Linked DNA regions of Callithrix jacchus. Each later gene encodes a partner of the first gene's protein in a complex. Links are inferred from orthologs where the notes say so. Each region holds a gene or a part of one and is shown in the gene's direction. Other genes may lie near its edges. The genes, in order: AP3D1 and AP3B1.

Region 1 (3,915 bases):
GGGCTGGGCGTGGTGCCTCACACCTGTAATCCCAGCACTTTGGGAGGCCGAGGCGGGTGGATCACGAGGTCAAGAGATTGAGACCCTCCTGGTCAACAAGGTGAAACCCCATCTCTACTAAAAATACAAAAAATTAGCTGGGCACGGTGGTGCGTGCGTGTAATTCCAGCTACTTGAGAGGCTGAGGTGGGAGAATTGCCTGAACCCAGGAGGCGGAGGTTGAGGTGAGCCGAGATTGCACCATTGCACTCCAGCCTGGGTAACGAGAGCGAAACTCCGTCTCAAAAAAAAAATGCATGAATACATTCACCAAAGGTATGGAGCCGCCATGCTCAACAATCCCTTTTTTTTTGTTTGTTTGAGAAAGAATCTTGCTCTGTTGCCCAAGCTGGAGTTCAATGGGGCAATCTCGGCTCACTGCAACCTCCATTCCTGGGTTCAAGCGATTCTTCTGCCTCAGCTTCCCCAGTAGCTGGCATTATAGGCACCCACCACCATACCCGACTGATTTTTTTTTTGTTTTTGAGACAGAATCTCGCTCTATTACCCAAGCTGGAGTGCAATGATGTGATATTGGCTCACCACAACCTCCGCCTCCTGGGTTCCGGCAATTCTCCTGCCTCAGCCTCCTGAGTAGCTGGGATTACATGCACGCGCCACCATGCCCGGCTAATTTTTGTATTTTTAGTAGAGACAGGGTTTCACCATGTTGACAGGGATGGTCTCGATCTCATGACCTCGTGATCCACCCACCTTGGCCTCCCAAAGTGCTGGGATTACAGGCGGCTCACGCCACCGCTCCCGGCCTCGAACATTTTTTCATAATCTTAATGATGTATCTTGGAGGGCGAGGACTCAGTACCCCCATTTACTGTTGCATGATTGGCACACAATGGGCCCTCCATAAACGTTTAATGAATGAATGACAGTGTCGAAGTACCGTCCTTGGCCTCATTTTCTTTCTGTGGGCACGTTAATCCCTGCCCTGCTCATTTCACAAGACGTTGTGAGGCTGCGAGAACCACAGGATCCGTTCCCCCCCACCCCGCCCCACCCAGTCGTTGGGTTTGGAGGCTCTCAGGCCGCGTCAGCTTTTACATTCAGGAAAGGCGGAGCTCGAGTCTTCCCCGGGAACTTGCCGGCCAAGCTCCACGTGTGCGCCCCGCCCATACCTGTCAGCTGATGGGAGGGTCAGGACCGGGCTTTAAGGGGCGTGGCTAGAAGGGACAACGAGGAAGAAGGTGGAGTTTCGGAGGCCACTGACCAATGAGAGCTCAGATCTGTGGGCCGGAAGAGGCGGGGACGCACGCCGGAGCCGGTGTTGCCACATTTCCATTGGGCCACCTGTCGTCGTCAGGGAAACGCAGCGTCTCCCCCGCCTTGGCGGGGGCGGGGCGGGGCTTCCAGGGAGGCGGGGCTTCCGGGGCCGACTCGGCTAGGACCGGGCGCTTGTCGTCAGGTGACCTGCCGCCATCTTGTCCGCCATTTGCAAGTGGCCCGGAGCGGGATCACGGCACCTGCTGAGCGGGTCGCCGCCTCTGCCGCGGTCCTCGGACCCCGCCGCCGCCCTGGCCTGGGAGCCTGCCCCGCCGCAGCGGCCGGCTGCGCAGCGCTCCGCGGGCGGCAGGCGCGGGCCCCGGGCCCCCTCACGGCGCCCAACCGCGGGCCTCCCGGGGCACAAGCCCGTGGGCCGCCGCGATGGCCCTCAAGATGGTGAAGGGCAGCATCGACCGCATGTTCGACAAGAACCTGCAGGACTTGGTCCGCGGCATCCGCAACCACAAGGAGGACGAGGTGAGCCCGGCGCGCCAAGGGTTGGCTCGGCCCGGCCCGGCCCCGGCCCCGCTCCCGCTCCCCGGGCCTGCTCGGTCTGCAGCCCGCCCGGGCTCCTAGTTCGAGGCCCCGCTCTGGGCTCCGGCCCTTCCTGCCCCGGGCCTGGAGCGCCGCCCACCTCCTCGGACCCCCGGCCTCAGTTTATCCCCGAGGGGGCGAAGGTCCTGGTCTCGGCGGATGCCCGATGGGGAAGCGCTGCCGGAATGTGACGCTTCGGGCCCCGCCGAGGGGCGCCCTTCCCCCGGGACCCTCATTTCACTCCCTCCGAGGGACTTGCGGGCCCGCCTCCCCCTGGGCTCCAGCGACCCCTCCCAGGAGACCGGCCAGGTGCCTGGGCAGACATTTTCCAGCCCGAGCGTGTTTCGGAATCACCGATTAAAAGTGCGGGGTCCCGGGCCCCGCCCCCGGACCCTCCCTGGGAGACCGAGGCCGGGGGTCCTGGGCCGCCCCTGGAGAAACTCCTTCCTCCCGGGTGCTGTAAATGCACGTCGAGGTCTCTCCCTGGGGCCTGGCTGGGAGTCACCCGGGGCGGGGGGCGGCGGCGGTGGTCCTGGGGCCGTTCCTCCTGGGCCCCTGCTTCGGGGAAGGCGGGGCCGCTGCTGGGAGGGAGGAGGGACCCTGCACCCCAAGCCCCAGGGAGGTGGCAGCCTGGGGGAGCCTGGAATGGGGAAGCTGACTTCAAGCAGGAACCTGAAAGCCAGGGCGAGGAAACCCCTTTTCCAGAAGTCAGATTAGAGCTACGGGGGCATCGTTTCCTTCCCGCCCCTCCCTTCCCCCAACCTGTGACCTAGATCGAAGAAGAACGGGCATAGTGGCCACGTGGCTTCATTGACGGGGGCCCGAGCAGCCCCTGGGCAGTGGAAGCTTTAGAACGTCTCCCACCGAAGCGACTGCCTGCCTCCTTCCCTGCTTGGGCAGCGAGGCGGGTACAGCACCGGCCCCACTACCAGACGCCGTGTGGGGCACGAGGTGCCAGGAAGGCAGGGCCATTGAGAGATTTGCTTGCAGGCACCGAGTCCCTCAGCCCACGCCCCTCTCCCTGGGAACCTGAGCTCTTGCCCTGACCCTAACCCTAACCCTTACACCTTTACGCAGGTGGCAAATGGCGTGGCTTCGCCTGCCCCCGCCTTAATGAGGTCTTTTTTGTTCTCCACCCCCATTGCGTCTCTTCGGCCTCCTGGATTGTCATCTCAGAAGCACTCCCTAACTGCTTTGGTCTCAGTGTGTAACTAACTGGATAATGTTCACATTCTTTGTGATGCTCACCCAACAGAGACGGAAGTCCAGCTCGAAGCTGTTTCCCTGTGCTGGCTTTGAGACAGCACTTTCCCCGCCTCCCCAAATGGAACCTTGAAAGCATCGTCGCTGATGGGCCTGGGTTTTACTGTGCTGAGCTTGGTTCACCAGATTGGAAATGTGACTTGCTTCCTGAGAGGACCTTTTCTGCGTGGACAGAATCTCCCAGCGCCCTCCCTGCCCCCCTTCAGCACATGCCACTGAGCAGCCTGTTCTGGGATCCTGAGGATAGGCCAGGGGGTCTGCCCAGTGGACGACCACACCTTTAGTCAGGGGCGTGGTTTTCAGGGAGGTGTGCCTGTCTTCTGGGTAGTTTCTGAGCCTGGGATTCTTCCTTTGGAATTGGTGTGAGTTGATAGCGCTTTCCCCGCAAGCATGGTCACGTTCGAGGGAGTGTTGCTGTTGGAAAGTCTTTTTTTGAGCCGGAGTCTCCTTCTATCGCCCAGGCTGGAGGGCAGCGGTGCCATCTCGGCTCGCAGCATCCTGCGCCTCCCAGGTTCAAGTGATTCTCCTGCCTCAGCCTTCCGATTGCTGGGACTACAGGCACTCACCAAAACACCTGGCTAATTTTCTGTATTTTTAGTAGCGATGGGGTTTCACCGTGTTAGCCAGGATGGACTCAATCTCCTGACCTTGCGATCCTCCGCCCACCTTGGCCTCCCAATGTGCTGGGATTATGGGTGTGAGCCACTGTGCCTGGCCCTTTTTTTGTTTTTCTGAGACAGAGTTTTGCTCTTGTTGCCCAGGCTAGAGTCAGTGGTGTGATCTCAGCTTACCGCAACCTCT
Region 2 (3,815 bases), on another chromosome or scaffold:
AAGATGACATGAGCCCAGGAGGTTGAGGCTGCAGTGAGCCCTGATTGTGCTATTGCACTGCAGCCGGTGTGACAAAGCAAGACCGTGTCTCAGAAAAAAAAATCAGAAAAACGAAAAACCATTTGCAGACCATACATTCAATCTTTTTGAATTTTTTTTATGTTAAATTGGTATTAATAGCCACACATTATTCTTACTGGACTGAAAATACCATGTAATACATGTTGAAATGTGAGTATTACCATAAAAATCAGAGTTGGAGCTCTGGACTCTTTTGACAGATGAGAAAACAAGTTCCCATAACATATAGTTAGTGGCCTGAACCCAAATTCCTTCTCTTATTATTATTTTTTTAAAAGATAGGGTCTTATTATGTTGCCCCCGATGGCCTCTGACTCCTGGTCTCAAGTGATCCTCCTGCCTCAGCCTTCTGCGTAGCTGGGACTACAAGCATGCACACCAAGCCTGGCTTCTTTATTTTATTTTTATCCTTCATTTTGAAAATATTTTTACAATGTAGTTAATATTCTTACATGATATCTGTTCAGGGATTTTTTTAATTCCCTTCAAGAGGAAGGGACACTTTGACAGGCTATTGCTATTGTGTATAGGACTATTAAAATGCTTACTTTAAAAGCTTTTTCTATTGCTACTTATTATCCCACAAAATATTATTTTTATTTTGCAATCTAAGATGTGACCAGATTTAGTTGTTTACTTGAGAAAAATTGAGCATGGATTTTGGTATAGCAAATATTGAGTGTTAAATTTTCACTGTGGCTAGGAATAAATGATTTTTTTTTAACAGATCAAGAAGTTGGTATATGTTTACCTGGTTCGATATGCTGAAGAACAGCAGGATCTTGCACTCCTGTCCATAAGCACTTTTCAGCGAGCTCTGAAGGTAAATAATGGAGTGAGTAGGCAAATAGCTACAAGGTTTCTGCAGAGTTGGAAGTGTGTCATTTAAAGAAGTGGAGTAGTAATCCACTAAATAGCCCAGTAGTGTCTTGAAAGAGTTAAAAAGCCTCCTATAGTGCCTACTCAATATGCTTAGAAAATAGTTTATATAACCAACTGAAACCTTGCTGTATATGTTGCAGCTTCTGTATGTTTGTTTATATTCAATATAATTATTTTTATGCTTCAAAGAGCTGTTTATCATTATACTAGTTGTTGAACGTGTGCAAAGGGGGTTATAAGACATTTTTAAACATGAAATTGATGACCTGCAGCATTTTATTATTATGAAACCATAAAAACCCAGCATATTTAGTAATAAATCACCAACTAGAATTATAACTATTTATTTTCTTTAAAACATTCTTAAAGAAATAAGCATTTATTTATTTCTGTCTTTCCTCATTTTCATATACTGGTTGTTCATTTTTAATTAAGTAGCTTTCTTTTGCTATTGTTATATTACACCCTTTAAGCACCTATTAACTGTGCCTTAAAGATGCCTTTGAAATACTGTATAGTTGAAATTCTGGTGAATATTTTTGCACTATTTTTAGGACCCAAACCAACTAATTCGTGCAAGTGCTTTGAGAGTTCTTTCAAGTATTAGAGTGCCAATTATTGTACCTATCATGATGCTTGCTATTAAGGAAGCTTCTGCTGACTTATCACCATATGTTAGGAAGAATGCAGCCCATGCAATACAAAAATTATACAGGTAGGTACATTGTTAACAATATACCAAAGATCTCTAATGTTACATGGAATATTATAGACCACAGAGGCTTATTTTATTAGCTCTTTTAACTAGCCTGTTCTTGTACTAAGTAAATCCGATGACTCTATGATGGTATTCTCCCCCCTGCAAACATTCCTTGCACATCTTTAATTTTGTTTTGGTTATAGAGACCCCATGCAGGTTTTATTTGTGAGGTTGTTAGAGCCTGTGATAATTTATAGATTTTATAACATAAAAATAATCAGAATTTGAATTCTCATTTATATAGTCTATCTCATGTACACATATATGCTAGTATTATTAGAAAGTTGAGATTTTTTTTTTTCTATTTAGGGTAGACTCTTAAGTGTATGATCCTCTCAACTCACTATTTTGTTTTCCCTTCTTCCATCTTTGTTCCTGCTGCTCCCTTCCTTGTCTAATTATTTTCCAGAGCTTTTTTATTAAGTAATTTTTAAAAGTGTAGTGATTTTGAAATATAGTGCTATATACTGTCTGTATATTTTAGAAATGTTATGCAGTATTATACAATGCCCTGATCTCTGTGGAAAATTTACTGCCCATGTAGAATTTTCTACAGCAATTTGGTATTATTTTTGGCTACGATTTATTCCTCAAGGTTTTTGAGACTGTCCTCTGTTTCTAGTGTTGTATTCACAATATTATGCTATGTGTATTTAGATGTATGAGAACAGTAGGGGATGTGGCACTTAATTATGAATAGCATATCACGTATTTGAGTAAGAAAATCAAAGACATGCCAAATAATTAAAGGCAATCTATAACTGAATAAGATATTAGCACTTGATATATATGTATATACAAAGGCACACTAGCAATGTCTTTGATGGGACAGGGACCAAAGCTTATCATACTGTGCTAACAGATAGTAAAGATGTAATGAGATGGGATTGGTAGTGGGATACTGTTTTGAGAAGGAAGACTTAAGCTAAAATTTGAAATAATTAAAGTTTGTCCAGATAATTATAATGTTTAATAATAAATGCATATGTTTGTAAAATGTGAAATCTCATATTCCTACGTTAACCGCCAAAGTTTTATCATGCTTCTCACTCACCTTTTCCCCTTAAACTTATGGGATAAGATCCACGCTCACTGTAATGGTTTAAAAGTCCTTCTATCACTGGGCTCCAGTATGTTCAGGCCCCAATGTTTGCCTCTTCTTGCCTTGAATTTATAATCTGTTAGTATTCTATATCAAATGTTTTGATCTCGTTACTTATTTTTCATAGTTTTAGTTGGCAGATTTTATAATGCATGTCTCTATCAGAGAATTAGTATGATATAAAATTCTTATTTGGAAATTCTCCATATTTGTTTTTGGCAAGTATATATTCCTAGTAAACTAATGATGGCCGGCTTGTTATTTTTTTTCTCCCAGTTGAAAAAAGAGTTTGTGGTTTATCTACTTTCCAACTCTTTTAGAAGTGAACTTGTTCTTTCAGTACTTTCTTAACTAAACCGTTGCTATCTGGCTTAGTTAATATAAGCAGTATTAGAGGGAAAGATTAGGGCATATTCATGAGAAAAACCATCCCATTTTACATTAAATTTGTTTTTTCTTTATTTCTGACTTTTAATTTCTTGCTCTTTTTTCCCACTTTAAAAATTTCTAAACATCCTTGAAATGGTGAGCATCATTTAAAGCTAGAATTAAAGGGAAAAAATTAATATAAGTTCTTTTTATATTTTTTAGCCTTGATCCAGAGCAGAAGGAAATGTTAATTGAAGTAATTGAAAAACTTCTGAAAGATAAAAGCACAGTAAGTAATGTATTTTTATGTCATTGAAGTAAAAATGATACATAGTATCATTTACCATTATATGTTTTATATCATTATTTTTATTGATTTCAAAATCGTATAAATATTAATGACACTCAGGCCTATTTTTGAAGAACAGAAATTTTCATGTAATGAGAAAGATTGCATTTGGAGTTTTAGATTTTAGGTGTTTCTTCATCAGAGTCTGAAAAAAGACAAGTTGGGAAAAAAGTCTTTTCTTTAACCCGTGGCTAAATGGTTAACTGGTTTTTGTGTTGAAGTTTTTATTTTAGCAGTGATTTATTACGATTGTAAAAGGCTGAATCACCTGG

Evidence for each region.
Region 2: the proteins of AP3D1 (region 1) and AP3B1 are in contact, whole or in part, in a cryo-EM structure (PDB 9C5C), measured with the Homo sapiens proteins. The link is inferred for Callithrix jacchus from reciprocal best matches to the Homo sapiens genes AP3D1 and AP3B1. Residues at the interface, in NP_003929.4 of Homo sapiens: Lys352, Leu442, Ile446, Ser471, Tyr483, Trp487, Glu491, His517, Ala520, Val521, Gln524, Asn525, Lys528, Val561, Gln562, Ser563, Ala564, Leu566, Glu567, Gln569, Glu570, Arg571, Ser573, Cys574, Gln577, Leu578, His581, Ile582, Leu585, Lys588; in NP_003655.3 of Homo sapiens: Asn75, Lys466, Lys467, Gln470, Val494, Ala497, Ser498, Trp501, Leu531, Leu534, Gln535, Asn538, Lys542, Asn567, Tyr568, Asp569, Asp572, Arg573, Arg575, Phe576, Ile577, Gln579, Leu580, Lys586, Gly588, Ala589, Leu590, Ser591, Tyr593, Lys596.

Annotation. Positions count from the first base shown.
Region 1 is NC_133523.1:2,028,405-2,032,319, reverse strand, and holds the start of AP3D1 (AP-3 complex subunit delta-1), read left to right. Parts: upstream 1-1,481; 5' UTR 1,482-1,698; coding exon 1,699-1,794; intron 1,795-3,915. UniProt on the Homo sapiens protein: Part of the AP-3 complex, an adaptor-related complex which is not clathrin-associated. The complex is associated with the Golgi region as well as more peripheral structures.
Region 2 is NC_133503.1:132,830,905-132,834,719, forward strand, and holds part of AP3B1 (AP-3 complex subunit beta-1), read left to right. Parts: intron 1-808; coding exon 809-904; intron 905-1,517; coding exon 1,518-1,678; intron 1,679-3,416; coding exon 3,417-3,483; intron 3,484-3,815. UniProt on the Homo sapiens protein: Subunit of non-clathrin- and clathrin-associated adaptor protein complex 3 (AP-3) that plays a role in protein sorting in the late-Golgi/trans-Golgi network (TGN) and/or endosomes.